5 linked regions of the Ovis aries genome follow. The protein of the gene in region 3 purifies or fractionates together with the protein of the main gene of each other region. This does not show direct contact. Links are inferred from orthologs where the notes say so. Each region holds a gene or a part of one and is shown on either strand. Other genes may lie near its edges.

Region 1 (6,518 bases), on a different chromosome or scaffold from region 3:
AGTTCCTCAGAGTGACCTGAGAGTAGTATCTCCCAGGCTTGAAATCCTCAGAATATCTGCTGAGTAAAACATGCTGTGCTTAGTTGCTCAATTGTGTCCAACTGTTTGTGACCATAGACCATAATAGACCATGGACAGTAGCCCGCCAGGTTCCTCTGTCCATTGGTATTCTCCAGGCAAGAATACTCGAGTGGGTTGTCATGCCCTCCTCCAGGGCATCTTCCCAACCCCGGGATCAAACCCACGTCTCCCGCATTGCAGGCAGATTCTTTACCCTCTGAGCCACCAGGGAAGCCAGAATGAAGCATTAACTCTTAACTTTTAGGTTGTGCTTTTTTTTCCCCCCTCCCAGCCTACAGATGGTATAGTGTCTCACTAGGAGAAGGCCAACTCTGTGATCAGAATGTTGCTGTCTACCAAAACTTCCCATTTTCAGCATATCTCCCTCCTTTGCTATCACATGAAGCCTCAGTGGTTCAGCATTTTCAGAGAAGAACCCTCCAGTTGTTACCTGGGTGGGAAAGGGATTTACAGTCTAACTGCTCCCTGAACTGCTTTGTAACCAGTCCTCTTGTGTTCAACCCCATTTATACCCTCACCTTCAGTGGTACCTGGCAATTCCAATTCTTGAGCTTCTCTGCTACACCTTAGCCTCAAGTAAGTTTGTTTCCTGGCTTCCCTACTCCAGGACTTTGTTTTCTCCATTTTGCTTAAGCCATTTCCATTTATCTATTCTCTCCAGCTTCCAAATGTTGTTGACATCACTTGTTTGCTATGTCCCTTCTTCAGATCTGTTTGTTCATGGGAGTTTATTCCCTTCTCATCCTTTTAACTGTCATTTCAGTGGGGCTGGCAGAGGGAGAAGAGGTAAATGTGTCTTGTGACTGCATGGAATTCATTCTACCCTATTTACCCTGAAGGGTCTTCTTAATGTTTCAATTATGTGTGTTCTGCCTCTCCTTAAATAGGGAGCTCTTTTCACTGCTTAGCACTGTATTCTGCTTGGACTGGGGGTAAAGTGAGGCAGAGGGTAACAACAAGGGAATAGAAGATATACACATTCTCAAAACATTTGACTCTCTAAGGGTAGGGTAAGAGCCATTTATCCAACGTGTGATTTCTGTCAACTACTTTTCAAGGTGGCACTAGTGGTAAAGACCCGGCCTGCCAATGCAAGAGAAGTTAGAGATGTGGGTTCTATCCTGGGTCGAAGATCCCCTGCAGGAGGGTACTGGCAACCCAGTCCTGTATTCCTGCCTGGAGAATCTCATGGGCATAGCAGCTTGACAGGCTACAGTCCACAGGGTTGCACAGAGCTGCACAAAACTAAAGCGACTTCGCACATCACACTCTTCTTTTAAAAGTCCTGCCACCTCTCCTGTTTTATGTATTTTGGCTAAGGGGGCTGGAGGGCTAGGTGTGGTGCTCAGGAAGGTCAAAGGATGGAAAAATCTGATTCATAAACCGTACAAAGTCAGTGCTAAGCAGGGGCAGTAGAGATTACCGAATTCAATTTCCTAATTTTTAAAGTAAATTTATTCATTTTAATTGGAGGCTAATTACAATATTGTAGTGGTTTTGCCATACACTGCCATGAATCAGCCACGGGTATACATGCATTCCCCATCCTAACCCCCCTCCCACCTTCCTCCCCATCCCATCTCTCTGGGTCATCCCAGTGCATCAGCCCCAAGCACCCTAATTTCCTTATTTTTAAAAAGGAAACTGAAGTCCAGAGAGCTGTAGTTTATTTGGATCAACTGTGGTCTCTTGAGAAATACTCTCAAGCGATCGCTTGAAAATGCCACGTTATTAGCAGTCTTTGGCCCTTTGGGTCTAAAGGTTCTCTCGGTCCCAAAGCAGCATGCCCCTTGCTGCTTCTTGGATCAAAGGTCGTTTCGGAGGTCATTGCTCTCATCACCCTGTTTGTGTTTTTTTTTCCCCTAGTACTAGTTAATTTTTAAAATTATGTAATTATTTTATTATTTATCTCATTTTCCCCACTGGAATGTAGGCCTTGTGAGAGAAGGGATATTTGCTGTCTCGTCCGACGACTAATCTTCAAGGTAAACCAGGATTCTAAACTAATAAGTCTGGCTCCAAAATCTGCGCTTTCGACCACTACATTATGTTGTTATTTGGTGAAGAAAGCAGAGGGTCGGCTTCTGTGTATTCAGGCAAACGAGCGGACAAAAAGAGATAACCCACTAACACAAGCGAGCTGAAGGAAAACATCCGGATCCAGGCGCTCAGCGTCCCCTCATGACCTTTCTCTCCGGAAGCGCTTGCGGCCCTCTAGCGCGAGTACGCACGCGCGGCGCCGGGGTCGCTTTGGGTCGCGCGCGAAGCCGAGACGCGAGGGAAGGTTCCGCCTCCAGGATAGAAAGGCGCCTGCGCCGTCGGGGCTCTGGTCGGGATACGCATTCTCGCTTCCTCCCTCCCTCGCCTGCGCGCGCGGGTGGGCGTGGGAGGAGGCGGGGAGCACAGAAGGAGAGCGAGGGGGCGGGTGTCGCGGGAGGGAAGGAGCGAACCGGAGAGTGTCGTCCTGAGAGGAGTGAAGGCGGCAAAATGGCGGACCGCTTCTCCCGCTTCAACGAGGACCGAGACTTTCAGGTAAACACGGGCGTCGCCGAGGTCCGGGGAAGGCGCTGGCCGAACCAGAACCTCCTCATCCCCCACTCCCAGTTTTCTTTCGCTCGGGGCTCTGCTGTGGCTTCCGAACCTGGTCCCTTTTCTCCCGCCTCCGATTCCTCTAGGGGCCTCCGGGTTTGAGGCGAGGCCGCATCTTCTCTCACTCTGTATCTTACGGACCGCTGGGTTTGCGGCCTCGTCCTGCTTGGTCTGCGGGTTTGGGAGCCCCAGCCTGGCCGCTGGGTGGGGTGGCTGTGCTGCCCTCGGGTGTGCCCAGCGTGTGCGGGCGCTGGGCTGGCTCCCAGGGGAAAGCGGGGGGTGGGGTGGGGTGGGAGGTTTTGGTTCGAGTGTTGCTGAGACTGGGGCTCCTAAACCCCTGGATTTTGCTCGCACATCTCTTCATGGGATCCTTCTCCCTCTTTGCTCACTGTAACAAATCGCTTTCATTGTCTATTTTTCCATTTCCTCACCCGGAAAAGGGGGGCTTTAGTTATCAGACGCCTCCATGGTAGTCAAACATTGAGATTTCCCTGAGCGTAAATGTTGCTGTTGTCATTACGTCGTTAAATGGGCTTGGAAAACAGTAAGTTACAGGAGGATGGTCGATGTAAGCTTAACCCCAAATGCTACCTTGAGAGATTTGTAAAAAGCATCACGATAATGGACTTTACAAGCAGGTGGTGACTGCTACCAACAGCTTGATTTTTCTTTTTTCAGTTGCAAACGTTGTATGGAAAAATGCCCTTGCCGAGGCTAGCATGATTGAGGAAAAAATTAAGGCCAAATTAGAACAACACGTCTTTCGGCTGTTTCGAGTACCTTCCTGTTGAGCATTGTTACCGCAGAAATCTCAGCGACTAGAAGGGATTTAGTAGAGATGGGCTATTTCTAGGGTAAATGACGTCCTTAGTCTCAAAGAAACCCCTGCATTACTACCGCAGACCCTGGCAACAGCAGTTTGGTTCAAGGGATGAACGTCCGAACTCAAGTTATTATCCCGCTGCAGCTCTTTCTCAAAGTTACATGGGAATACTCTAGATAGGTTTAGGAAGGTAGTTGAAGAGTTTGAATTCTGCTGGATGTTTGGGTTGGTAACTAAACAGGTAAAGCAGTGAAGGCAACAATGTAACAATCTAGTACCTAGACCTCTGAAGAGAAGTTTCGCAACAGTAGACGATCCTAAGGCTGTTGAAAAGCCTTGTGATCATGCGCCTGCTGAATAGCTGCAGCACAGTACAGGATCTCAAGGTGTTTAAAGATGGAATGCAGGTCCTGGGAATTTTAAAGCAGTTCTTATTAGCTTTTTTTTTTTTTTTTTTCTTTTTTCTTACTAGCTATTTGATCCTTGGGAAAGGTGAGATTTTTTGTTTTTTTTTTTTTAGGGAGCACCATAAAATAAGAGTAGGCTGCAAGATGTGGGGGTTTTATTGGTAGTTTTTAAGGAGACATGTTAATAATTAAAATCTTCTAGTGCTTTTCAGAGAGAATTTGAAGGTCACTTAAAATTGAAAATAGATAATACGGACAAATAAGTATTGTGGGAAAATGTTAACCACAGGATTTCAGCAGTGTTGAACAGGCAGGATTTTCAGGACCTTAAAAGATTTGAAAACTGGAGAACAGAAAATGAATGCAGTCACCTGAATAAATTTAGGAAAGCTTCTCCTTTTTCAAGTTAAATGACTTTCTCTTCTCATGCTTTAGTTGTGTATATACGATATGCTTTTGGTTGCTTGGTAGGCCTTTGAAGATATTACATATATTTTACCTACTGCTTCTATATTGGTATAGCCAATTTCTGTTGTATTGTGTCAGCGAGGTAAATGTTGGTTTTTAAGATTCAGATGTCCCAGCATTATGGGTAAATAGGATATTAGTAATGAAAACCTATTAGACAATTACAGGATGTTAGAACTTCTGTAAATTATTGTGCTAACATTTTTTAAAATCATTTTAAAATATTTTAAGTACTATTTTTTCTGAGTGTTTCAATAAAGGGGAAAATGTAGTTGAATTTTCATTAATGATGTCATTTGATTTAAAGTTATTGGAGAGAAAATGCCCTAGGAACCTCCTGCATATAGCATATCTGAAACATTGTTCAAGGTCAGGTTATTCAAAGTTAACTTGGCCTTTTAAGGCTTTAAGTGATAAATGAGGTGAAGCTACTGAGTGCACTTGAAAACAAATCCAAAGTAGGTTTCCAGATACAGTACATAGATCCTGTTTCTTTAAACAGATCTCTAGCAGTGGAAATTTTTCTGTGCACCTTCTCTGGTAAGTTCTAGATGACTATCATTTTCTCGCCTTTAATTTGGCAAGGGAATTTAGAATTGTAGAATTTCACTCTTTACCAATTTACCATTAGGTGCAAATTTTGGGGAGTTTAAGGATTGTCTCTTGAATTTAGTATAAGTCAGAGGAGGCTTCACTATTAGATTTTGTGAACACTTAAAAGTTTCAAATGTGTTTTATATAATATAGAGAAGAGCCTAATTGGCATATTACTTGAAGCGCTTATGAATATAAAGAGTAATCATTAATATCAGGGAAATGTTTGAAAACATTTGATAACTTCATTTTAATAATAAACAGGTACTGTTCTGTGGACTTTACATGTGTTGTCTCCTAATCTTCCAATAACTCTATGAGGTGCGTAGTGTTACTCTTACTTTCAAATGAGGAAGCTCAGGTACAGATAGTTAAATAACTTGACCAAGTATCCGCAGCTGGTAATGGCAGAACCAGGATTTAGACTCCTGCTTTTTGACTTTTGAACCTGTACTCATGACCAATAACTTTACTGGCAATTGTATATTTTATATAACTGTAACTGAGTCATCAAATATGGAGGATAAACTTATAGGTCACAAAGAATAAATGAGCTTTCAGAGAGGTGATACAATTACAGTTTCTACTCTGTTGCATTTTGTCCATATCTGTTTCTTGTTGGTCTCCCAAGGGCTTCTAGGAAGGCTTCTGACAGTGATGTTACCCTTTGTCATAGAGGATATATTGTTAACTCTTGTCTTAGTTCTGACATTATTTAAAAATACCCCCTTTAAGTGGTGTTTTATCTTTTGGAAATCTTTGTGGTTTGGGCTGATGTATTTATTTTTTAAATGCTTTAAGAGTTTTAACTACTTCTTTAAGAATCTGACCTCAATTTCTGAATGAGACGTGACTTCTGCCTACATTTACCAGATTAAGGCATATTTGTTCACAGATTGAAATGTTACAGAAACTAGTGGAAAATAGCATGGTATAATTTACAAATGTAGATACATTTTTTTTAATAGTTTCTTTTTTTTTAATTTTTTTATTTTTTTTTAATTTTTTTTTAAATTTTTTATTTTTTTATTTTATAAATTTTAATATCTTTAATTCTTACATGCGTTCCCAAACAAATGTAGATACATTTTCAACACTTTGAATTCCAAGTTCACTAAAGAAAGCATTTTTTGCACTGTGATGTACAGCAATGAGGTATATTTACACACTGCTTAGCATTTAGTGGTTGCGCAGCTATTAATGATGATGCAGCTGAATGTTAGTGAGGAAATGTTCTTCAGCTTGTGTGCTTGCAGAGGACTGGTGATTTCAAGTAGTTTCTCATTTCCTCTCGTTCTGAATGCATTCTGCTTGAGATTTCTAATGAAAAGGAGCTACAGTAATAGATCAGTAAGTGATTAAGTAATGAAAAAAACAACTATCTTAAAGGTCACAATAAAAGTGTAGAAATTACCCAAGAACTTTCTGTAACTTTCTGTATATAGTAATCATAGTGGTATACAGCAATAAGCTGTGTTACTTTTATGTAGTATGTTTTTTGTGTTTCATATGTGACACCAGGATGTGACTTTCAGATAATTCTTAATTGGGACCAT
Region 2 (6,594 bases), on a different chromosome or scaffold from region 3:
GGGCAAGTGCAGTGACCGGAGTGGTTTTCTGAGAGAGGGTGGGGCCAGCCCGGCTGCCATCGGAACTGACTGTTCCCCCACAGACTCTGGCCCAGGAAAAAAAAAAAAAAGCCTGCAGCTGTATCTACAGGGCCTGTTGTTGTTTGCTGCGGTGTGTTACAACACAGCCTGGCAGCCTCCCGTGTCTCTCTCTTCCTCCGCCTGGTCCCAGGCCATGTGACATGGCCACACGGCACAGCAGATTTGACCACACGGTTCCTGCTGTTCCCTCAGTTAGTAGGCTCTTCCAGGTCTGCATTCTTCTTGCTCATGCTATCCTCCCTCTCTTCCCACCCTCCCCTCCCCCACTCCGAGTTTCCTTTCTTCCTCTTCCACATCCATCAGTCTGGCAAACACCATCTCTTCATACTCTTTTAGGACTCAGATCTAGTGTCACGTCTTCAGTGAGGCCTTCCCTGACTCCCTCCCCAGGAAGAGCCGATTGCCCTGCTCCTGGGAGTCCTCCACTGGTCTATGCATAGCCACTTCCTATGCAGGTATCTTGTCACAATCTCTGAAACATGAGGCCCACGGACATGCAATGTGGATGGCACTGTCTCTTAGGTCTGGGACAATGTCCTCTCACCTCAGTATACCGTGCGCGTAGCACAGTGCTTAACTCCAGGCTGTTAAAAAGCATGTGGGTGTATGCTAAGTCGCTTCAGTTGTGTCTCAGAGAACTTATGGACTGTGGCCTGCCAGGCTCCTCTGTCCATGGGGATTCTCCAGGCAAGAATACTGGAATGGGTTGCCATGCCCTCCTCCAGGGGATCTTCCCAACCCAGGGACTGAACCCGTGACTCTTGACGGTCGGGCCTTGGCAGGTGGGTTCTCTACCACTAGCACGCCACCTGAGAAGCCCCATTAAAATCACAGTAGATGCTTAAACGATTGGCATTAGTATGCAGAATTAATGCACAAATAAACTGTTTCAGTGACACTCTTTGGCATCTGGTAAAAAGGTAAGCTTCTAGGCCCTGAAGCAGGGCCTTTGCCCTCACTGAGGAGGTTTCAGCGTCAGCTCTAGTGGTTGTTTCTGCAGGTGGCACCTCTTGAAGGCAGGGATGGTTATTTGCAGAAGAAACTCTTCATAAATACCTAAATGACCCTAGGTGATATAGTGTTGAGGCCAGATGTGGAGTTAGGAGATGTTAGGTTTCAATAGGTGATTATTAAGCTCCACAGTTGTGGGACTTCAGGTTCCTGTTTCCTCAAGAATGAGATTGAGCGAGCCACTCCCTAAGGCCCAGGAGCTGCTAGCTCAGTCCCCTTCATCCCAATCTTGGTTTGGCCATTACACTCCAGGGGCCCTGAGCCCCCTCCTGAAGTCCAGCTGCTCAGCAGACCTACCCGTTGGCAGGCGGCAGAGAACACAGACATCTTTTAAGAAAACACAGAAATCCTCTGCTGTCTCAGTCACCTGGGATCTCATGTTTGAAAGGTAGAAGACGGAGGGAAAGCCTAGTCTTAACAGTCCCTGAGTGTCCAGAGGCAAGTGCTACGTGCTATGGTTTCTCCAGATGGGATTTTTTCCCCCCAGTTCCAAATGGACAATACCAGTTCCCCTGGTATTGTTTCCCGGGGCTAACCTAGCTTGCTTACCTGACGCAAACAAGCCTGGCCTGCCCCTCTCCTTCCGCGAATCAGGTCGGGTGGGCGGACAGGAGGGCAGAACTGTCAGAGAGAGGTCCCAATGTGAAGTCCACTAGCTTGCTTGGGCATTAGTTTCCCCGGAGGTAAGGGATGGAGTGAGGGGGCGTCGTTCAGTTTCCTCCCTCTCTTCCCTACAGCGCCCACAAAGGGGCAAGGGCCAGACACGTGGGCTGGCGTGGGGGAGGCGGAGGTTACACCAAGGCGGAGGTGCAAATGGCCGGGGGCGGGGCCTTATTTGCATGGACGGCGTTCGGCCGCCAATCGGGATAGGAGGAGCGACAGCCCGCGCGTCTTTTGGGGCGGACTGACAGCCCCGGGGCCCTATGGGAGGCGGGTCCTGCGGCCCGCGGGGGCGGGACTGCGCCGGGCGCTGCCCGGGGGGACTCTGGCCGCTTCGCGGGCGCTGCCAGTCTCCGGCGGCGGCGTCCGGCGCGCTGGCGGCCTGCTGGGCGGGCTGAGGGGCTGGCGGCGCGCGGCTGAGGCAGAGCGACAGAACGGGCGAGCCGCCACGGCGACAGGTACCGGCGCCATGGCCACGGGGGGGATGAGGCGGGGTGGCCGCCCGGCCCCGGGAGCCGCGTTCCCTCCTTCGCGGTCCTGCCGCCGCTGTGCCGCTTCCTCACGCGGCGCCCCAGCCCGGGAACCGCGCTGCGGGGCGGGCGGCGCCGAGACGCCTCGGAGCGGGCGCGCTGGAGGCGCCCAGGCTCCCCCGCGGGAATCCTCTGCGCCCCGCCGGGCGAGCGGGGCCGGGGCTCCCTTCGCCTCCGGGAGGCGCGGAGCCGGGCGGCCGCGGGAGCGGCTCCCCGCCCCTGCCGCGCTCTCCCTTGGGAAGACGAGGCCGGTCGCGCCCCGCTGGTCCTCACTCGGCTTTTTTTTTTTTTTTTGGTTTCCCGCCCTGGGTAACAGGTCCCGGCTCCGGCTCCTGTCTCGGCGGCCCCCGACTCGCCCGCGGCCCGGCGCCCGAGAGCCAGGCGGCCCGTGAGCCGCGGCCGCCGCGAGCGGGAGAGAAACTTCGGTCTCCCGGGCCCGGGCGGCGGGAGAAGTGGGCCGGCGGTGAGCCGTGCGCCGGGACGCATCGCGGCCGCGATGGAGCCTCGCTCACCTGGCGGGCCCGCCGAGGGGAGGGATAACGGAGCGTCCCGCCGCAGCCGCGGTCCCCGGCTTTCGGTCTGCGCTCCCGGGGCGGTGGGTGTGGATATACGCGTTCCCCGTCTTTCACCTGCCGCCCCGGGAGGGGGACCAGTGACTGGGAACACGGCCTCCCCGCCCTCGACTGCCGGTAAGAGGGGACCGGGGCAGCGCCGTTCCAACAGGTGATTATCCCAAGTGCCAGGTGAGAGCCACTGAAAAGTTGTTTCAGGGTTCGGTAATTCAGTTCTCCGGGGGCTTTGTAACGCCTTCTCCCATAATGATTTTTTTTTTTTTAAGGTGTGCTGACCGCAGTATAGGAGTCAAAAACTAGTATTGCTTGGGGTGCGGGGTGGGTGGGGAAGGTGGGGAGTGTCGCCAGCGGGTAGATTGCCTTCTTTCCATTGACTTGGCCGGGAGGAACATCTTAGTTTAAAAATCGGTTTCTGCAGTGGTGGTGAAAGCATGCATAGTAAGGTACAAGTTGTAAATGGAGAATGCAGAGCTCGAGATATCCTTCGCTGTGGTTCAGGACAGAGTGTACAACGTTTGGCCGCCATTCAGTAAATTCTGCATGAAGCAGTTTGAGCTCGTGGTTTTGGATTTACTTTACAAGAGTGGAATACGGCTTAGCTTTGAATGGGAGCTTTCTTTGCCTCTCTGAGGGCACACAGGAGTGTTTATTTTCATTGTCTTCTCGTTTTGTTAGATTATAGACGAGGGAAAAGTTGAGGCATATTTTGGTTCAGTATTTTTAATAGTCTATGGGAATTCTCCTTCACCCATTCCCCCCTCCCCCCGCCCCGCATAAGAGTATTTATTTTAAAATTCGAGGGTAGAGTTGAACAACTTTTTATTCTTGTGGAAGTTTTTATGTTATACTTCCACTTATTTTCTGTTTCTCTCTCTCTCCCGGCTGACCTCACTTAAAATCTACAGTTATGGCCCTGACCAATTTTAGAAAAAATTTAAAAATAATATATAATTATTCTAAAATATATTATGAAGGTTTAGATAACTCAGATTTTTCTTCTTATGTGTCTTTTTTTAAAATGTCTGTGCTGGATATGATTTGAATAAGAGATGTAAGGAACTTCTTAAGGACAGTTACACTTTTGATTTAATTATGTTACTTTATTAGTGCTTCATTGAATGGTTATTAGTCACATGTTAATTAGTAACACCTTTGAAAGGTGCACTCTAACCGATAGGCTAGTTGTGACTGTTCGGGATTTTTTTTTTTAATCAAAGATAGTTTTCATAAAAATTGTTTTGTTTTCTTGAAAACAACAGGCTTATCTGCTGTGAGTTCTTTGTCTTTCAAACATGACCATTTTAAAATATTGGATTAGGAACTAGTGAAGTCTTCAATTTTGTTTATTCTTGCATTGGAAAAAGAACATATTTCGGTTGTTTTGTTTCCTAAAGTCTTAGCTTAGAACAATCAGTCTAGAGAAGGAAGAACATTCTCTTTCTATAGTTGTAGAAGAAATTATTACTGTTGAAAGCTGAGTTGGCTTTTCGATGCTTAGTGAAGGTAGATTGAACAGTGACTTGTTCAGAGTGAGTTTTATTCTGTATAAGTAGTTCTGAGGAATCTTATGAGACTAGGGTTATGGGTGGTCTATATAATTGTTTTAAGTGTATAGGAGTATATTAGTCTAACTATTGTGTATAATTAGAAGTTTTATAGTTTTTATCTTGTGATGCTTAAATGTATCACATACCATAAATTAAAGCTATATTTCATAGTTTAATTTACAAAAGCATGTTTTGGGAACTTTAACTGTAAAAGTGCCTTTTAATTAAAATACTGTTTTCAAATTCAATTTTTACATGTTTCAATTACTGATTTCTGTCCACTTTTAACTTGTGGTAGACCGTATCGTAAAATGGTCAACCACATTATAGCTTCAAAATTAAATATAAGTTGAATTCTTACATCTACGTAATAAATGTTGGGAGTATTTTTAAGTCACTTACCCTCAGGTGTGGCTCCTTTTGAATTTGGGGGTGGGCAAATATTTTTGATTAAACAAAGCTACAGAAAAACAGGGACACATGTGAAACAAGCTACGTTTGAGGCTAAATCACACGATACTGTTAGATAGTAATACTTGTTTATTTAACAGTAAAATGCGTGCTGTATCTGTTATTAAGAATATTTTCTGTAGGCCTTTAATATTTTTCACAATTCCTAACAAAGAATCTATATTGTACATATTTTGGCATACTGAATTCTGTACTTATTTTATGCTGAACAATTAAATTATTTATACTTTTTATAATTCTGAAACTATTTGAACTTTCTAACCTAGCTGATTAGTAATCAGATTTTGTTTTTCATTATTTTATATTCTGAAATTTTTTTAATGCATTTTTAACTTCTGACATTATGCCAGGAAAATTAAAAGTTTAAGGAAAATTAAATTTACAGTCATTCAAGACTAGATGGAAGTTGGTAGGTAAATCATATAACTATTGATTTAAAAACAGTAGCCACTTAAGTGGGTTTTTTTTTTTTTTTTGGTGCAAAAAGATGCTTATTTATTGTGTAAAAGATAGTTCTGCCAAATGAAACAGGTTAAAGTAATTTATAGCAGGACCTTGTGGACGTAACTAAGTTCCTAAGGATATTTCAGTAGTATTTGAAACACTAAAATTCAAGCACTCAAATTATTTGTACCTCATTTTTGTCATGATGAGACTTGACCTGCATTCAGCTGAAACTCAAACATGTAAGGCTTTAATCCTTAAATGGGGCAAGTTGGTTTTATGCTTATTTTAGTGTTCTAGCCTTTTGGAAAACAGCTAGTTAATAAGAGTGAAGGACCACCAGAGGGAGTATGGGGTCTACACATTTGATTTAATCTATTTTCTACTCTTGGTCTGGAAGAGAAACATTTAAAAAAAATAGGAATAAAATTTTAGCTCTCTAAAACAGGCAAAAAGATATTGAAAGTTGGGAATTGTAGCTCTTTGGAACTGCTGTCATTTTTGTAACACTTAATCAAGTTTGTGTTTTTCTTTTTAGAAAAACGTACAGTTACTAGAAAAATAAAAAATATGTATTTTCAGAGTGAAATAATGGGTTTTTAAGTAAACAGTTCCACATCTGTGGAAGTTATGGAACATCTGAATGCTAAGAATATTTTTTAAGATTAAAAATACAGTCCATTTGAGTTGTATGGTCTTGAAATTGCTCATTTTTTGGAAGGAGAAATAAAAGATGGAGAAAGATCAAAGACTAGAAGAGGGGTTTTTTCCCTTTTGTAGTTTGCAAACCTTTGCTAAAGCAGGCGATGGTAAATTTTTGGAACCATTTGTAATGTTCAGTTTGTAGTCTTGGCAGTTTATGTGTGATGTTAAATGAAGAACCACTCCTAGTCCCCTGAAAATGATCATCTGTTTATCAAAAACAGGGTTGGGGATTTCAAATTGATCTCATCAAAAATCAGATTTATGTGTATGTTTCTCAATGTTCCTGTCTCTGGAAATTAAAGATCCTTCTAGCTGCTGAAAATTACACACGGAATTTGAAGGTCAGAATGTCTCTGTCACAGACAGTACTTCAGTAGGTTGCTTTTTGGAATGGAGGTCTTTTTATGAATAAGGATGGAATGGTCTTTACTCATGTTAAATATTAGCCAATGGAATTATTTCCATGTTTAACTTTTAAAAAAGCAAGACAATAAAATAAAATCTTGTAACCTTAACATATTTTGGATTTTACCCTCTAGCATAAAAAGATTACTTCATGATGGATGGTCATAT
Region 3 (6,036 bases):
TCTCTCAGGTGGCTGGTCTGGGTGAGTACTGCCAGCCGTATGCACGCGCGTTTGGTGTGTGTGTGTGTGTATGTGTTGTCTGGTCCAGTTGCAGGGCTGAACAGGGGCCCAGCTCCTCTGTCTTCTGGCCCACTGGCAATGGCAACTTAGGGGTTCTGGTTCCGGCGCTGGCTGGCCTCTGGCCTCCCTGTCTCCACACTGCTCCAGGCACAGGCCACGTGTGTGAGTGGCCAGGGTCACTTCTTCAGGATCCTTAATAGGGTTGCTGGTATGTGGTCTGGAGCTGTTTGACCTGGTCCTTCCCACCCAGAGATTGCCCCGCCACACAGCTGAGTGCTCTAACTGGCGTGGACTGCATCCACCTCTGCAGTCTCCTCTCCACACCCCTCACCAGAGGCCTGGAGGCTGGAGTGCCCATGGGTGGAGGGCTGGGTCCGTCCGTCAGTGAGCTTGGACTGGGACCTGCCCTCTGACCTTCAGGCTTGCCCTCTTCAGTCTAGCCTCTTCATGTGAGGGGCAGTCAAGGCGAGGGGGATGAGCTGCCTGTGGGGCGGGGCAGAAAGGCCCCAGCTCCAGGCCGTGTCCAGTTGCAGGTCACACGCCCAGAGCAGGGCCTGGAAGCATTCTTCTTGCGGAGTGTTGTACAGATCTCTGCTGAGACCAGGATCCTGCTCTGCGCTCAGCTCTCTGGGAAGGAAGGCCAGTTTGTGTCTTGGAGGGTATATGCCGTCTTGTCTTCCCTTCCCAGCCCTCTGCCTTGGCTCCCTGGCTCCCGGCCTCGAGGCCCCGAGGAGTGGTGGTGCCGCAGTGGAGGGGGGCCAGGTGTCTCTCTGCCGAGCTTTCCCGTGACTTCTCTGAGTGGCCGTGGGTTGAGGGTTGACTGGGCACACGGCATGGCCTGGTGCCCTCTCTGCACACTGCCACAGGTGTGTGGCTCTGCTTCTTCTCTTTTTGGTGCCCTTTGTTGTCATGAGGCTCAAGTTGGGTCTGGCCTGTGAGTCGCCTCGGTGCCAAGGCCAGGGCAGGAGCTGGCTTGGGGCCTGTGTGGGCCGTTGTGGTGGTAGGCCTTGGAGAGTAGGCCGGCCCAGAGGATCCAGCGCTCCTTCTCTGCTCGAGGCTGGTGGTGCAAGGGCTGCCGACGGAAGGCTGGTTCTGCTGGTGATGCTGAGTCTGGCCACAGATGCTGTCTAGGGGCAGGTGGCAGCTGTCGGGTGTGTGCAGGACCGCGTGGGCAGACAGACTGGGCATTCTGCAGCTGAACCAGAGTGGCCTCTGACCGTTCTGGATGATCTGACCAAGGCTCGGCCCGCCGTCTTCTTGCACCCTTCTCACTGCGTCTTCACCCTGGCTGAAGCCGACACGGGAGGGCCGGGAGGGGGAGACTCAGTGGAGGAGGGAGTCAGGCCTGCGACTCTCCACATGGCCCGGCCCCTTAGCGGCAGAGGCTGGGCGTCTTTCTGAGCATTTGCGGCGCCTTTCTTTTAGATAATGTCCGAGTTTTCTTTACATACCTGTAGCTGTTTTTACTTTTCTGTTTTTGAAGTCAGTTTGTGTCTTGACGTGTCCCTTGCAATATCCCTATCGTTATATATGCTGTGTGCCTTATGAAATGCTGGGATCTGGAAAATCCAATCAACCAACCCACCGGCTCCTCACCGTCTCCACCTCTGCCTTTGACTGACACCTCAATCTGTCAATCGGAACCGCCTACCATGCGATTGGTCGGATGGCGTTTCGGGGGGCGGTGCATGCAGAGAAGCCAACAGAGCAGTAAGCGCAGCAGCCGGAGTGTGGAAGATGACAAGGAGGGCCACCTGGTGTGCCGGATCGGCGATTGGCTCCAAGAGCGATGTACAGCCACCTTTCGTAAAACTTTACCTCTCTACTTTCTATCCCCCTTGTTAGACGAGACCTCTCCTGCCCGAGGGGCCGCTATTGCGCGTGGTGCCTTAGAGGGGCCACCAGTAATTGCCTGAATGACACAGACTCTAGCAACTTCTGTTTTTAAGAGTGTAGCAGTGAGAAAGAAACCTTTTATGTTTTTGAGAATTTGAATGCTGTGAACTTGCAGGAGCTGCCAGCCCTCCGTCCTCCAGGCTCTCATGCCCTGTTTCTTTTCTCTCCTAGATGAGATCGTGGGGAACCTGGGTGAAGGCACCTTTGGCAAGGTGGTGGAGTGCTTGGACCATGCCAGGTGAGCTCTCTTCCTGGGAAGAGCTGGCCCGAGGTTCTTGAAGGTGGTGGCAGAGCTTAACCTTTTTCTCTCTGAAGAGTAGCACCAAACTCCTGTGCATGTTGGGTTTTTGCTGATCCCCTAAAATAGGGAGAAATTCCTGGGATTCCTGGGCGTGTGGCATCTCTGCCTAAGAACTGTTGGTCACTGAATGGTGCTGTTCCAGTTTCCCCACTTCCTCAGGGCTGTGGTGATCAGAACAGGGCAAAACCCTGGCCCCTCCATGGTCTGGATCTGCTTCCTATGAGCTCTTTTTAGGGGCCTGGCAGGGGTTTGGGCATACTGCTGAGTCCAACTCAAGCATGAGCCTCCACCGTCTGGAGGTCTGCCTGAGAGGTCATGCAGGCCCCCATTGAGAGGAGCAAGACCCTGGGCTTTCTCACCAAGTGGGCTGCTGCTTTCTGCAGCGTGGCTAGAGTGTGCTCGGGTAGAGCAGGGGTACACCTGTGTGAGTTGGGATCCTGCTGGGGGTCCCTTGCCCCCTTATAGACTGAAGAGTGAAAAATTTTTTTGTCCCTTGCCATTCCTTGAGACCAGAACCCTTGCCTCCTCTCCCTTAGGCTGGGAGGCTGCCGCCTGCGAACCCACTGCCTTTGAGCCTTAAATGGCCTCTCTTTGGTGTGGCACTTTGGCCAGAAAGTGCTTGTGTCCTTGCTGTCTCATTTGAGCCACGTGTTGCCTGTACGTGACTCTTGTATGATTTTAGGGATGAAGAAATATGCTCAGGGTCCGCCTGTATCCCCCAGCTCTCGAATGGAGGAGCCTGGGTACTGCTGTACTTGGCGCTTCCATGTTGAGGGGTGCCTGGAAAGGACAGTTAAACCTAGCAATTCAGCCCGCCATGTGACCCCAATTTAAGGTGGTGATTATTACCAACGAAGCCTCCCTGGGCACCCAGTTCCCATTTAAACACCCTTCAGACCCCTTGTGGCCCAAGAAGTTAGGGACATGTAGAGTATACAGTGGTAGAGGTGGCAGATCTGAGAGCTGTGCCGCCTGGGGCTCTCTGTGCTGTCACTCTGAGCAGCCAGATGGGAAGCGAGTCTTTGAAGTCACTAAAGGGCAGGCCCAGAGTTCAGGGAACCTTTAGCGAGTCCAGAGGGAGTTGGCCAGTGGGCTTGTTGTGAGAAGGCAGAATTCAGTTCCACATAAGGAAGGGCCGCCCAACTCTGGCAGTAGCTGTGTGGAAGTGATGAGCTCGTCTCAAGGGTCGGAATGCTATTAAGGGATGCTGTTCCAGGAGTCTGGAGTTACGGCTTTTCCTCTGAGGTCCTTTCCTACCCTGAAAATCTGGAAAAATGGGATGAGAAAAATGCACGGTGTTCTAGAAAATGCCTCTGCCCTTCGACCTGTGAACCTTTCTGGCACCAAGGCCAGCTTCCCAGAGGCCTTAGGCCACACCCTTGTGGGCCAGGGCTTATCACTCTGGTTTCCCACTGGGCATATGAGCACTGGCTCTCCCTTCCTGAGAGTGTTGCGCCTGGTAGCCTAACCGCCCCAGTCATTCTCTGCTGGGCACCTGCTCGTGGCATACAGGGGTAGTTCTGGGGGTAAGGTGGGAGGTGTGGAGCAGGAGTTATTAAAATCCTCATTGGACACTAAATAAGGGTTCCTGGCACTCAGGGTCTCTGACAAATGCCATGGCTGGTATTGAGGCAGGTGGGGCCAAGAGGTTCACTGAGGGATCGGTCCTGGGGTTCAGTGAGGGGAAGAGCCTCTGCTGGCACCTTTCCCTCCTGCCAGGCTCTCACTCCCTCCTGGAAGCCCAGGAGGAGCAGTTTGTGTAGAGTTGGTGATGTGTTCAGGAAAGTCAGCAGGTGCAGCAGAGGGTTCTGAGTGGGTGGCCTAGCCAGGGTCAGGACTGACTGGACTCCAGGTCAGGTAACTGAGCAAGCTCTAGGGCTGGTGCTGGTCAGCAGGATAGGGCTCTGCTCCTCTGCCCACTCCACCCAGGGGCTGGCAGCAGCTGAGATCATAAAAACCTAAGACTGGCACGGTTGTCAACAGCAGCTTCGTATTGCACAGGTAGAGGTCTGGAGTTGTGTGGGGCAGGCTGGGCATCAAGAGTCTGCTGTCTTCAGGGCAGCCTTGTTCCTGGAGTCCTAAGTAGCATTTGCCAGGAGTCGCTGGGTTGGGGTGGAGGGTGGGGGAAGGGCTGCATACCTTTTCATGAGGACTGCTGCTTCCTTCCCCGGTCCAGAGGGAAGTCTCAGGTTGCCCTGAAGATCATCCGCAACGTAGGCAAGTACCGGGAGGCCGCCCGGCTAGAAATCAACGTTCTCAAGAAGATCAAGGAGAAGGACAAAGAGAACAAGTTGTGAGTGTCGGCAGGAAATGGGTGGGAAGCTTCCTAGGGGTCAGTGTGTGTCCGGTCCAGTGGCCCAGACCCACTGGGACTGAGCAGTGTCTTTTGCCGGGTTGGCACCATGCCTTCTCCCAACAGCCAGAGCAAGGGGAGTCCGGTGAGTGAGTCTTGCTGGAAGGAACATCTGGGTTTCAGTCTAAGCTCCACTGCAACCAGCTCTCTGTTCTGAGGTGGCCTCCTTGCCCTGCATTTGTGAATTAGAGGCTTCACTGGGTTGTGGTGGGCATTAGACAAGATATAAACCCAAAACTGTTCAGGGTGCTCATGTAGTCAGAGATATCCGAAGGAGCACACAGACACGGAGCGTTCCCCTCCGCTAAGCACTGTGCTGAGCCCTGCAGACTCAGGAAGCTCGGCAGAGGGCACTTGTCCTGTGGAGTGGCCTGGTTATGCCATCTCTCTCTGAGAGCAGGGACTGTGCCCATAGTTTTCTCTTTGTGAATCTGCATCCTGTCTGTGACCCAGCATCCTGGGAGGGAGTGGGGACTGTCTTCACCTGAGGAAGCAGGTGGGCAGCCAGCCCCCAGCACAGACCCTGAGCCCCATCCGTCCTTCTCCAGCCTGTGCGTCTTGATGTCTGACTGGTTCAACTTCCACGGTCACATGTGCATCGCCTTTGAGCTCCTGGGCAAGAACACCTTTGAGTTCCTAAAGGAGAATAACTTCCAGCCTTACCCTCTACCACATGTCCGGCACATGGCCTACCAGCTCTGCCACGCCCTTAGATGTAAGTTCCCACCTCAAGTGGAGCAGGGGGAGCCTCCTGTCTGCAGCAGAGGCACCTGGTGGCCCTGCCCTCCCATCAGGTGCTCCAACACATTGCTGACTGTTCTGCTGGGCCCGAGACACTAGGGCCCCTTTGGTTGAAAGGCCTCCAAGTAGGAATCTGTGACGACGGAGAGGCTGCAGTCCCCTCCAGGGGCCTGCGGAGCTGGCCTCTGACCCCAGGCTCTCCGGAAGAGAAGGGAGAGAGCTGCTCTAGGATTAGCCCCGTACCATCCCCATGCCTACCTTCCTGCATAAGATGAAGAGGTCGCAGACTGACCTGGTAGATCCCACCCACAGATCCTGTCACACAGACACCATGTCTCACCATCATTTCCCGTCTGTCCGCCAGTCTCTTAAGGTGGTACCTGTGCTCAGTGCTGCAGGATTTGTAGTGGTTGAAACAGGTTGGAAAGGCTCACTGGAGAGAAGGTGGCTAGACCTAGAGCTAGACTAGCAGGGTCTGCATAGATGGCGGGACTGGGGAGAGCGTTCCAAGCCAGGTGAGCCACCCAGCGCTGGCACAGAGCCTGGCATGTGCTGCAGCTCACTGTGGTGAAGAGAGGGCCCATGTAAAGAGAGACGGGCTACACTGTCGGGGGGGTCGAGTGCCAGATGGAAAAAGTGATGAATGGCAGGGTACAACCATCGGTGGGACAGGGTTGGAGGGAAA
Region 4 (6,036 bases), on a different chromosome or scaffold from region 3:
CTCCTTTCATAAAGGAGGGAACACACCCAAGACAATAAAAATGAGTTTTGCAAGAACATTTGACTAGACAGTCTCTAGAATCCTGTGTGGTTTTAATGTTTTATGCTATTGTGATATCATGCTTGACTTTAACTTTTTCTTGAGAAGTGTAGCATCCTTAAAATATAATCTTATCTCAGAATAAAAATTTTTTAGACTTTTAAGGTACTTTAAAAATTATCTGATACTGTACTTCCCATCTCTGCTCTTAGCCTACCACCCTATTTGTTGCTTAAATTCCTTTTACTAGTAACACTGACATTTGTATTCATTCTTAGTCCCTAGCTCAGGAATTTGATCCAAATCAGTTGGTAATGAACACTTTTTTTGATTCATTTTTGGACAAGTTAGAAAACCCTTTTTATTTATTTATTTATTTATTGAGTTGGTATGAGAAAACTGTTGGGTGGGCCGTCAACCTGTTTTCCTTGTGTGTTTCTTGAAAAATTAATCTCAAGAGATTCTCTTTGCACAAATCATTGCCTGGTAAAATAAATTTGGAATGTTATTTTACTTTTTCTTGGAGATTTTCTATGAACATTAGAGAATCTGAGAAAATTGTATAGAGTTCCCATATACCCTTAGCTTCCCCCCTCCTTCCTTCACAGCCTACCTTGCTATCAGCATCCCCCACCAGAGTGGCCCATTTATTAAAATTAATGAACTTCCATTGACACATCATTTTTAAAGTACTTACTTTACATTAGGATTCTGTCTTGGTGGTGGTCTTCCTGTTGTTTAGTCGCTAAGCCATGTCTGACTCTTTGCGACCCCATGGACCATAGCCCACCAGGCTCCTCTGTCCATGGGATTTTCCAGGCAAGAATACTGGAGTGGGTTGCCATTCCCTTCTCCAGGGGTCTTTCCAACCCAGGGGTCTTTCCAACCCAGGGGTCAAATCTGTGTCTCCTACATTGCAGGCCAGTTCTCTACCATTGAGCCACCAGGGAAGCCAAGGTCTTTCTATGGGTTTGAACAAATGTATGACATATATCCACCATTGCAGCATCATAGAGAATAGTTTTAGTACTGTCAGTATCCCCTATGTTTTACCTATTCATGTTCCTACCCTCCACTCTGTCAATCCCTAACAACCATTGATCTTTTTACTGTCTCCATAGTTTTGCCTTTTACCCTGGTTACATTTTTATAGCCTAATTTTGTAATTTTTACCTTGCCTATCTTTACATACCAGGTTTATTCAGCGTAGCCCTGTTACCTTGCTGAGAAGCCAAGTTGTCATCCCGATCTTACAGTGGGCCATTGCCTCTACTACCCTGGACCACCGGGATGCCAATTGTAGTGTCATGAGGTTCCTACGAGACCTCATCCATACAGGGGTAGCCAATGATGTAAGTATAAACAAGGTATTAAATAGTTTTTCTACTTGTAGCTCATTATCACCTCATATATCATTCCTTATGGAAAAAGAAATATCTCATTTGATCTGTGTTGGTAGGTATATTCCATAGTGGATTATTCACTAACCAAAATATCAACTAGTAGATTTAAGACAACCTATACTACATGTTGTAAGCTGTATCAACTAGTCTAAACTGTCTCTGCTTCCAAGCCATTTGGTGTCTAATTGAAGAGAGAAATAGAGTTGTAAAGAACTAAACAACAGCAGCAAGGCAATATTTGATTGTCAGATAAGTGATAAAAGTTGTGATTGCTTTGAGATCAGAGGAGGGAAAACTCTTTGGAAAGAAGTAGGTTGGGATGACTTTCTGGACTAGGAGGGACCACAGTGGAGCCGTTTGGATGGATTGGAGGAAAATCTAAATGGGTATATAAATCATAATCAGAAAGGACTAAGTTTGTTAGTAGATACTTCAGAGACCTTTTTGGCTGGAGGTAAAGTGGTTCACAGAATTTTCAAACGTAGATTTGACTAGATGTGGAGTAGAGTTGAAAGTAAGGGAGAACAGTGAAGAAGTATGTGATAGACTAATTGAAGAGTTTTGACAGTAAAAAAAGAGAGGGAATGAAGGTAAATAGCTAGAAGTGAAAGGCACTTTAAAAGGTTTTTTTTTTCCAACGTATTAGAAATATGTATATTCAAAGACTAAAAGGAAGAAAATAAGTAAGATCTTTTTTTTAATTTATTATTTTTGTGGCCACCCACAGCATGTGGGATCTTAGTTCCTTGACCAAGGATCAAACCCAACCCCCAGCAATGAAAGTGCAGGATCTTAACCCTGGATCCCCAGGGAAGTTCCTAAGTAAGATTTTTTTTGATAGAGAAGGTTAGATATTTGATAGAAGTCTTCTTTTTTCAGTTGCTTTTTAAAAAAGGAAATAGGAATAGTTTATCTTTTACCAGAATAAAAGGTTAAAAGGATCGCTACTCTTAATCTCTAACCATTGTTTCTCCTCTGTGTTCTATTCTTGAAAAACCTAAGGGTTAAGGTTAATCTCAACTGAAGCCCTTACCCGTTTCCTTGAAACTAAACTCTTAATGTTTTCTTCCTTGTGACAGACAGTGCACCTTGTGAGTCCAGCTATTATATGTACTTTCTTCTCTGAGAAAGAAAATTACTAAAGGGGAAAGAGTACTTGCCCTTCAGAAAGTTGAAATTAGCACTTTCCTGTTGTTCCTGTTTTCTTACAGCATGAAGAAGACTTTGAATTACGGAAAGAACTAATTGGACAGGTGATGAACCAGCTTGGACAGCAGCTTGTAAGCCAGCTGCTTCACACATGCTGCTTCTGCCTCCCCCCGTATACCCTACCGGATGTGGCCGAAGTGCTCTGGGAGATCATGCAGGTTGACAGACCGGTAAGATTGTTTGCATAAGGAACCCACTTTCAGTCTTGGACAGTTTCTTGAGAGGCTGACTCTAACTTTGAAACTAGTCCTATTGTATGCTCTTGGTGGTATGTCTTACATTGCTATGTTTAATTGTTAAATGAAGGAGCCAGTAGAAGGATTCTAGAGAATATGTCTGTGTCACTGTAAGAATCTAATACAGTAGTATTTTTGTTTTTCTAAAAAATACTCTTTGAGCCATTGCAGAGTGACAAGTTTATTCCAAACATCATTGATAATAGAAATAAAATTTCTGTACTCTTACTTTTTAATAGATATACTTGGTTTCCAGGTAACAAAAACCTTATTATATACATCTAACTTTACAAAAAACGTTGGATTTGTAAGCCTTTATTATCTCTTATCTTTCTGATCATGACCTTTCTAACAGGCCTTAAGATGATATGTCTTTATAGTTTTAATTTGCATTCCCATTATGATTGGTGACACTGAGCATTTTTTATGTATCTGTTGGCCTTTCATGTATCTTCTTTCAAGAAACGTTTGTTGAGGTCCTTTGCCCATTTTTTAACTGGGTTATTTGTTTTCTTGCTAGACTTCTGTGGGTTGGTTCTCTATGTATTTTAGATACTAACCTCTTTACCAGGTATACGGCTTACAAATACATGTTTTTTCCCTTTCCTTAGGTTTTCTTTTTACTTTGTTGATGGTTTCTGTGCGGAAGCTTTTAAGTTTGATGTAGTTTCCTCTGTTTATTTTGCTGCTTGTGCTTTAGGTGTCGTTGCCAAAAAATCATTACCAAGACCTATGTCACAGTACTTTAGGCCTTTGTATTCTTCAAGGAGTTTGATGATTTCAGGTCTGTGTTTAGTCTTTAACCTGTTTTGAGCTACTTTTTGTGAGTGGTGAAAGGTAAGAGTCTAGTTTCTTTGTTTTACATGCAAATATTCAACTATCCCAGCACTGTTTATTGAGAAGGCTGTCTTTCCTACACTGGATATTCTCATCTCCTTTGTCCTATATTAGTTGACAGTATACAATTTAGTTTCTTACTGTTTTTATTTTCAGGGGATACTATGGTTAACTTATGGGTCATTTTGGATGCCAAAATGTTGTCAGTTAAGAGTTCGTTCTCCCTGTTTGCCTCTTCTTGTTTCTGTCTGAGTGGTGTGTTGTCTTCCTTGGAGGTAACACTTGGAGAATTCGGTGGTGCTTCCAAGCATTTCTAGTGGAATGTTACTTTTGGTCTAGTCTGTGGTGATCATGTGCTTAGTCACTCAGTCTGTGTCCGACTTTTTGCGACCCCATGGACTGTAGTCCACAGGTGCCTGTGTCCATGGGATTCTCCAGGCAAGAATACTGGAGTGGGTTGCCATTTCCTTCTCCAGGGGGTCTTCCTGACCCAAGAGCTCGAACCTACATCTCTTGTGTCTCCTGCTTTGGCAGGCAGATTCTTTTCCACTGTGTTCCCTTGGAAATCCCATTGTGATCATAAATTAACATAGTGGAAAAATACATAATGTAAAAAATGTAGGTATAAAAAAGTTCTTTTCAGCTAAAAACTATGAACAAAGCATACATCCTACTTAAAGACATGAAGAAAAATTAGAGCCAAAAAAGAAAACAAAAAGAGCAACAAAAAAGAATTTTCTTAACCTAAAGACTAGGCAGTTATCACAAAGGAACTGACTGGATGTGACTTCTACTGAGAGAAATGACCTTAAAATCCTTAAGATTCTGGATTCATATTTGTATATACACTTTTTAAAATGTTTACTTGTTATACTTTTTGACCCTGCTCTTTCTAGTACCTGAACTTTTGCTTTGGGTTGCCCTTGATCTCCAAGCTCAAGAGATTTTTGGCAGCAGTCTGATTTTTAAAATATTGCATGTTTAATGATAGAAACAGAATAATAACTTCATCCAGAAGAGACTTTACTTCCAAGGTAGAAGGGCTCCACCTGAAATGATGTCTGCTGCCCCCTTGAAGGGAGCCTGGGCATGCCTTTATAGGCTGTTCCAACCCTCAGTAGGTTGGAAGGCCAAAAATAGTACTTCTGTTAACTCCTTTATTTACTTCCAAGTCTGGAACGCTAATGCTACTAAGGAAAACTTGTGGGTTTTTGTTATTACCTGTAGGGTCTCAATTGAGTAAGCCCTGCCTCCCTTTAAAATGCTTATCCTTCTTCTCTGTACAGACTTTTTGTCGATGGTTAGAGAATTCTTTGAAAGGTTTGCCAAAGGAGACAACAGGGGGAGCCGTCACAGTGACACACAAACAACTTACAGATTTCCACAAACAAGTCACTAGGTGAGTGATAAACAGCAGCTGGCCTATGTAGGAAGAATGTCTTTGTTTCTTACATCATCTTAGTTACAAATACACCCAGTAATATTTTTGTGTGTATACCTTTATAAATTAAAATTTTATGTCTTCTTAATGCTTGAATTGCACAAATTGGTGTTGGAAACCAATCTATGGGGAAATATCACCATGTATGCCTACTTTATTGTTCATATGTATCAAACATATCCTAATAGGTAAGTGGAAGCATTATGTCTTCCAGCAGAACAACAGTGCCTTGAACAGCTCACTATCCTTCAGGAAATCTGTATCTTTTTAAAGTCCTTCCCAGCCCTTATCCATATTCAGGGGTCAAGAATGCAGGTGTCTGACTAGGTGAAGCAGTGGTTGTAAAATAGTTTGGAGTGATGCAGACTGATTGGGAAGTTTTTGCCATGCCTAATTTAGAAGATAAGCAAGTTCTAATTTAATGCAGGCCAAACGAAACCTCTCTCTGGGACACATTAGTCCCATGAGCCACTTGCTTACAGCCTAGTTAAAATGTTAAGTATACATGTATGGGTTTGTTGGGTTGGTTTTTTTCTCACTGTAAACATAATAAACATTTTAAATATAGCTACATAGTCTTCCTAATTACAGTTTTGTAGCTGTAAGATATTGATTGATTTCCTTACAGTGCTTCTATTAATTTTCATTTTTTTAGTATTATGAGTAATATTGAATGTCTAGCCCTTAACTTCTTTTGACTACTACTTTCCTTAAGAAATAATCACTGACTCAAAATTATGTGACTTTTATGGTTCTTGATAGTATTAACAACAGCAATTTAAATTGGATTTTGTAACTGTGTGTCAACCTTGCTCTGATATTTCTTTTTCTGTCTAGTCTTTAGAATTTTGACTAAATTTTAGGCAATGGC
Region 5 (6,036 bases), on a different chromosome or scaffold from region 3:
AAGGCCTAAATCCTAATGGTCAGTACCACAGTATTCTTGCCTTGTGAGATTAGGCTCTGAAACAGATGGGCGATGCAATAAACCTCATCCAGGGGAGAAACTGGCTTCTAGGTTTTTTAAAGGAAATTTTTAGCAACCCTCCTGTGTCCTCAGACCTTCCCTACAGATACAGCCTGGTCTGTCTCCACAGAGAGGTAGGGAAAGCAGCCAAGAGGACTTTGCTTTGGCTCACTGTTATCTTTCTGGCATCCACGTGCATGTCTTAACTAGGCATCCCAAATGTAACTTGGCTCAATCAAAATTCTCAGTTCCACGCCTCACTACTCCTTCCTTCACTACATTACCTCCCTCCAAATCTCTTCTTTTTCTGGTATCTGCCAAACTACCTCCAAAATGTACTCCAAATCTTCCAGCTCTTGCTGTCTCTGTTGCCACTGCAGTCGTCCTAGACCTTCTCTGGACTACGTGACCATCTAATTGTCTCTGCTTCTGTTCTCCCTCCCAGTCCATTCTCTAGACGATAGTCTGGGGAACTTTTGAAAACATGTGGGATCATATAACTTTCCTGTTTCAAACACTAGTGGCTTCCTGTTGCATTTAGACTTAAAATCTGCATTCTTAATCAGGCCCTACAAGGGTCTGCATGATTTAGGCCAACTCACCTCCCTGTTGTATCTTGAACTACTCTTGTTCTTGTTTACCACACTCCAGCTTACTGCCCGTCTTTATGTTCTTCTCATACTGAGCTCTGTGATTCCATTTCAAGGCATTTGTATTTGCTATTTCCTCAGCCTGGAATGCTCTGCCCTCAGATTTTACAGGGCTTGCATTTCATGACACTTGGGTCTCAGCTCCCTTCCTCAGAGATCTTCCCTAAGCACTCCATCTAAAGTTGCAGCCACCCCCATCACTGACTATCATGTCATTTTTAAAAATAGTATGTCACTACCTGAAAATCTTAATTTATATACTTACAGGTTTGTTTGCCTCTTTAGTGCTGGAATATAAAGTAAGCACCATAAGAACAAAGACTTGATCACCACTGATTTCTCCAGTGCTTGGTATATAGTAGGTTCTTAGTATATGTGTGAAGAAATTAATGAATGACTCATAGAAGAGGTTAAAAAGGCCACCTTAGCGACTTCCTCCTGTGAGAAAGCTTATTTGAGTATTTCAAGCTTATATGTTGAATAACCTCACTAGTGTGGTAACAGCCTTTTTTACCTCTAAAATTGTTGCTATGACTGTGTATGCACTGCTGCTGCTGCTGCTAAGTCGCTTCAGTCGTGTCCGACTCTGTGCGACGCCGTAGATGGCAGCCCACCAGGCTCCCCCATCCCTAGGCAAGAACACCGGAGTGGATTGCCATTTCCTTCTCCAATGCATGAAAGTGAAAAGTGAAAGTGAAGTTGCTCAGTCGTATCTGACTCTTAGCGACCCCATGGACTGCAGCCTACCAGACAAGAGTACTGGAGTGGGGTGCCATTGCCTTCTCCAGTGTGTATGCACTAGTTGGTATTTTTTTTTTTGCAGTGTGTGTGCAGTGGGTCCCATTAAAGAGTTATGTAGGAGAAAATGTGAACAGATTGCCAGGAATTTGGTTAAAGACAAGGTGACTGACGGTGGTTGAGATAAGGTAGCAACATGCTGCCACAAAACGTGCTCTGAACAGGTAGTGAAAGACATGGCTTCCAGTCTCTGTTTTCCAAGTGGAATTCTGGTATAACACTAAGATAGAACTTGATAGAAAAATGTTATGATAGAAAAATCACACCTCCATCCCAACTGTAGAATTGAGGTTGATTCTTCTGAAGCTTCCCTCCCCAACTCTATTGTGTCATGACCCCAGGATGGTATTATGCATTGATGTTTGCAGAGATGGGCAGGTATATGTACTGCGTTGTTTCAGGCATCCAGCTTTTACCTCTAAGGAAAAAATACATTTTCACTTGAATTACATCTTGTTTTTGCTTAATTTGGCAGGCAAGCAAATAAGACAGTGTCTCCCAAGGCCACATGCTGGAGAGTATTGGTGGTGTGGTATGAGTATGAGAGGCCCTTGGGTTTTCAGTTCAAAGGGAAGGATGAACAGGGCAGCCGTGAGGCAAAAGAAACTTTTCTGTCCTGATAACATTGCAGTACAACACTGAGGAGGCTCCAGGGTAATTAGTGGCTTTTATTGGAGACTTGGAAAGTTCTGTCTAGAAAAACTGAAACAAAGCCTTCCAACCCACTGATGTATAATGTGCTAATCCCAAGCATGCATGTAGCCAGAGACATGTTGAGGTAGGAATTGAGGTTTAGACATCTGTTTATTAAAGCTCTAAATCAGGAGATGGTTCTTGGTTTTGCTTGGTTGGTATAAGATATATTTCATAATGTGATACTTGTGAATACAAGTAAGCTGCAGTTTGTGCCAGTATAAACAGAACTTTTGTTTTCTTTAGGTTAGAACAGTATTTATTAATATGTGTGTTCAAATACGATGTGACCTTTTAAAAACTGCTTCGTGTAGTCTATTCCTTGAGACTTTGAAATGTATTTGTATATTTAAAACATTTTAGGGGGAGAGGGTCTTAAGGGGGAAAAAGGACTTGGGCCTTGGATGTGGATCAAAAATATTAACACCTCCCTACCTGCCCACCAAAAAAGAGGTTGAGAGCTTTTCTTCACTTAAGAAGAATAAAAAGTTAAATGTTGGTTTTTGTCTTTGTCTTGGTATTATAAATGTGTGATTTTGTTAAATTTTTTCTGTTGTACTTGAAAGTTTCTATCCTTTATGGTGGAGTTGTAGGTAAAAATCACAGCATGCGCATGGATTTTGATATTCTGTACTAAAAAGATGAAATTTCTATTTCATTTTTATTCTTAAAAAAAAATGAACATTTAGTATTAACATATCAGTTTCCATGATTACCTTAAAAACATCAAATATAAATGAAACTCAGAATAATGCTGAGTATAAAGTATAATCCCTATTGAATATTACAAATGTTTAAGATAACTGGTTCCCACAAGAATTGAGCCCCTGAAAATTAGACACTAGAATTAGAAATTAAAATTTCCTAATTTCTGGTACCCAGTTTTTCCATTGTTCAAACATACAGGAATAGCTTAGACCGTGTAGTCCCACCTCCACTCCTCTGGGCTGATAATACATACGTCTTGGATATCTTGAGCACTAGATGTCGCTGTTGTTCCAGCAAGGCACCACCTCATCTCAAGTAAGGAATTGCACCATGTTCCAGTACTTATTTATTGACTAATACGTTGTGAGAGAGCATGAAAGGGAAGGAGAGGAGGCAGTTGGTGAAGAGAACAAAAGAAATCGACAAACCTTGGGAGCCATAGATTGACATCAAACTTGAAAACAGTATGTAACAAATGAACTGGTGGTTTTATGCTTTTAAACAGCTTTTCAGTCCTTGTGTTGTATTGTCTATGCACAGGGGTTTCTCATTAAAATCACCCTCAGAGTGTTTAATACAGGTTCCTGGGCCTTTGGAAGTCCTCATTCAGTAAGTAGGTTTGGGACAGGGGAGGGACCCTGTTTTTTAAATGAGCCTTAAGATGATTCTGATGTCTTACATCCACAGAATAGGAGTTAGTCTTCATAATATCTAAAGCTGAATGCTACTAATAGTCATAGGACACTCTGCAAAATTTTATTTTATCCTTAGAGGGAAATCAAATAATTTTTCTGCATTCAGGGGAGCTACACTTTTTTCTGTTGGATTCTTCAGGATCTTCGTTTTCCCCAACAAGTATGATATTGGCCATGTTTTTGGTAATAGCACGTGTTCTGGTCATCCTCAGGATTTTCTTTGGGAATCAAAGGGAGAAACATTGCTTCTCTGTATTATTTTGGGCTTGCTTTGCCATCTTCCTCCTCAGTTCAGTTCAGTCGCTCAGTCGTGTCCGACTCTTTGCGACCCCATGAATCGCAGCACACCAGGCCTCCCTGTCCATTACCATCTCCTGGAGTTCACTCAGACTCATGTCCATCGAGTCCGTGATGCCATCCAGCCATCTCATCCTCTGTCGTCCCCTTCTCCTCCTGCCCCCAATCTCTCCCAGCATCAGAGTCTTTTCCAGTGAGTCAACTCTTTGCATGAGGTGTCCAAAGATCTTCCTCCTAGTCATCTTCATTTCTCTTTAAATCAGCTGGATTTGACTGGCAGAATAAAGGTGGGGGGCTTTTTTTTTTTCCTTTGGCAGTGCTTCTTGGCATGTGGAATCTTAGTTCCCCAACCAGGGATTGAATCTATCCCCCTGCAGTGGAAACATGGAGTCCTAAACACTGGACTGAAAGAAAAGTCTGGGGAGGGCATTTTTTAAATAAGTAGGCCAAACATTCCATGGCAGAGCTGAAGTGCTCGTCTTGATTTATCACTGTCTTGCTATAGCTCTTCTTTTTACTTAGTTTGATCCTTAACCTGTAACTCACAGTAATCTCAACAAGGTTGGAATTTCTTCAGAAAACAAGAAGGAAGTGGAGAAGAAAGCTGTGAAACCCATAGAAACCAAGAACAAGTTCTCCCAGGCAAAGCTGTTGGCAGGAGCTGTGAAGCATAAGAGGTCAGCCTGCATTCACACGACTTTAATCTCCCTCTGACTGTGTGCCCCAAGATGCCAGAGTAATGGTAGTCAGAACAGAGTTACCTAAGCACAGGGCTTGGTGAAGTTCCTTGTGGCCCTCCCTTGCTCCCCTGTCAGATTTGGTGTTTTCTGACACCTTTGACCTTGGTGTCTCTGTTCATTCAACATAATAACCACTCTTCATTAGACACTTAAGTACTTTCGGTGCTGGTGATATTTTATTCCTCTATGAAGTACAGAGACTGAGAATCTCAGAGGTTGAGAACCTTTGTCCAAAGTCAAAAAGTAACAGGAGAGGTGGAATTCAACATTTGAGCATCTGTGTTTCTAGGCAAACAAGGTAGCAAGTTCTGTGGAAGGATTTATGTAGGGTGTAATGAGAGCAGGGAGGATAGCATATTAAAAAGCAGAGACATTACTTTGCCAACAAAGGTCCATCTAGTCAAGACTGGTTTTTCCAGTGGTCATGTATGGATGTGAGAGTTGGACTGTGAAGAAAACTGAGCACCAAAGAATTGATGCTTTTGAATTTGGTGTTGGAGAAGACTCTTGAGAGTCCCTTGGACTGCAAGGAGGTCCAACCAGTCCATCCTAAAGGAGATCAGTCCTGGGTGTTCATTGGAAGGACTGATGCTAAAGCTGAAACTCCAATACTTTGGCCACCTCATGCGAACACTTGACTCATTGGAAAAGACTCTGATGCTGGGAGGGATTGGGGGCAGAAAGAGAAGGGGACGACAGAGGATGGGATGGCTGGATGGCATCACCAACTCGATGGACCTGAATTTGAGTGAACTCTGGGAGTTGGTGATGGACAGGGAGGAGGCCTGGCATGCTGCGATTCACGGGGTCGCAGAGTCGGACATGACTGAGCGACTGAAATGAACTGAATGAGAGCAGGGAGGAGAAATAACTGCCTGGAGTGGGTATATGTGACTTGTGTTGGGGAAGTTAAGGAAGGCATTAGAAAGGCAACTGATTATAGGACTGTGAGGGCTTTAATAGGCAGACAAGGAGAGCGGAACATCCCAGGCTGGGAGAAGAGCTGGGTCAAAGGCCCTGAGGTCCGTAAGAAGGTGGCAGCTGGGACAGGGTTACACACCTGGCTGGAACTCTGCTTGTTTGATGTGGGGTGGCAGCACTTCCTAGAGGTTTTGGTAAGTTCTCTGTTGTTTGTTCCCTTTCAAACCCTGAAATGACACCAAAGTGATTAAATTTGGTCATTTCAATTTGACCAACTCTACTAAAAGCAAAATGATACTAAGCTGAAGTGTAGTCTGTTAGGAAAATCAATATGGTATTTTGGCAGCCAGCCACATGTTTTGAAGAAAGTGCTTTGATGGAGTTTTGTGGTTTGTAAAACACTGAATGCTGGAACAATTTCCTGGAAATATTGCTCGCAACATTTTTTACATGTAAAAATGTCATCATGGCATA

The links.
Region 1: the proteins of CLK3 (region 3) and GPATCH8 purify together in Homo sapiens (affinity purification with mass spectrometry; 3 studies listed by BioGRID and IntAct, counting the BioPlex papers as one, with this or other methods). This does not show direct contact. The link is inferred for Ovis aries from reciprocal best matches to the Homo sapiens genes CLK3 and GPATCH8.
Region 2: the proteins of CLK3 (region 3) and FKBP5 purify together in Homo sapiens (affinity purification with mass spectrometry; 3 studies listed by BioGRID and IntAct, counting the BioPlex papers as one, with this or other methods). This does not show direct contact. The link is inferred for Ovis aries from reciprocal best matches to the Homo sapiens genes CLK3 and FKBP5.
Region 4: the proteins of CLK3 (region 3) and TNPO3 purify together in Homo sapiens (affinity purification with mass spectrometry; 4 studies listed by BioGRID and IntAct, counting the BioPlex papers as one, with this or other methods). This does not show direct contact. The link is inferred for Ovis aries from reciprocal best matches to the Homo sapiens genes CLK3 and TNPO3.
Region 5: the proteins of CLK3 (region 3) and PSME3IP1 purify together in Homo sapiens (affinity purification with mass spectrometry; 3 studies listed by BioGRID and IntAct, counting the BioPlex papers as one, with this or other methods). This does not show direct contact. The link is inferred for Ovis aries from reciprocal best matches to the Homo sapiens genes CLK3 and PSME3IP1.

Annotation. Positions count from the first base shown.
Region 1 is NC_056064.1:44,017,673-44,024,190, reverse strand, and holds the start of GPATCH8 (G patch domain-containing protein 8), read left to right. Parts: upstream 1-2,532; 5' UTR 2,533-2,568; coding exon 2,569-2,613; intron 2,614-6,518.
Region 2 is NC_056073.1:9,817,283-9,823,876, reverse strand, and holds the start of FKBP5 (peptidyl-prolyl cis-trans isomerase FKBP5), read left to right. Parts: upstream 1-2,100; 5' UTR 2,101-2,210; intron 2,211-6,594. UniProt on the Homo sapiens protein: Immunophilin protein with PPIase and co-chaperone activities. Component of unligated steroid receptors heterocomplexes through interaction with heat-shock protein 90 (HSP90).
Region 3 is NC_056071.1:31,715,728-31,721,763, reverse strand, and holds part of CLK3 (dual specificity protein kinase CLK3), read left to right. Parts: intron 1-1,754; coding exon 1,755-1,851; intron 1,852-2,127; coding exon 2,128-2,194; intron 2,195-4,433; coding exon 4,434-4,550; intron 4,551-5,158; coding exon 5,159-5,325; intron 5,326-6,036. UniProt on the Homo sapiens protein: Dual specificity kinase acting on both serine/threonine and tyrosine-containing substrates. Phosphorylates serine- and arginine-rich (SR) proteins of the spliceosomal complex.
Region 4 is NC_056057.1:94,617,188-94,623,223, reverse strand, and holds part of TNPO3 (transportin-3), read left to right. Parts: intron 1-1,234; coding exon 1,235-1,391; intron 1,392-2,653; coding exon 2,654-2,821; intron 2,822-5,010; coding exon 5,011-5,123; intron 5,124-6,036. UniProt on the Homo sapiens protein: Importin, which transports target proteins into the nucleus. Specifically mediates the nuclear import of splicing factor serine/arginine (SR) proteins, such as RBM4, SFRS1 and SFRS2, by recognizing phosphorylated SR domains.
Region 5 is NC_056067.1:24,774,429-24,780,464, reverse strand, and holds part of PSME3IP1 (PSME3-interacting protein), read left to right. Parts: intron 1-4,448; coding exon 4,449-4,578; intron 4,579-6,036. UniProt on the Homo sapiens protein: Promotes the association of the proteasome activator complex subunit PSME3 with the 20S proteasome and regulates its activity.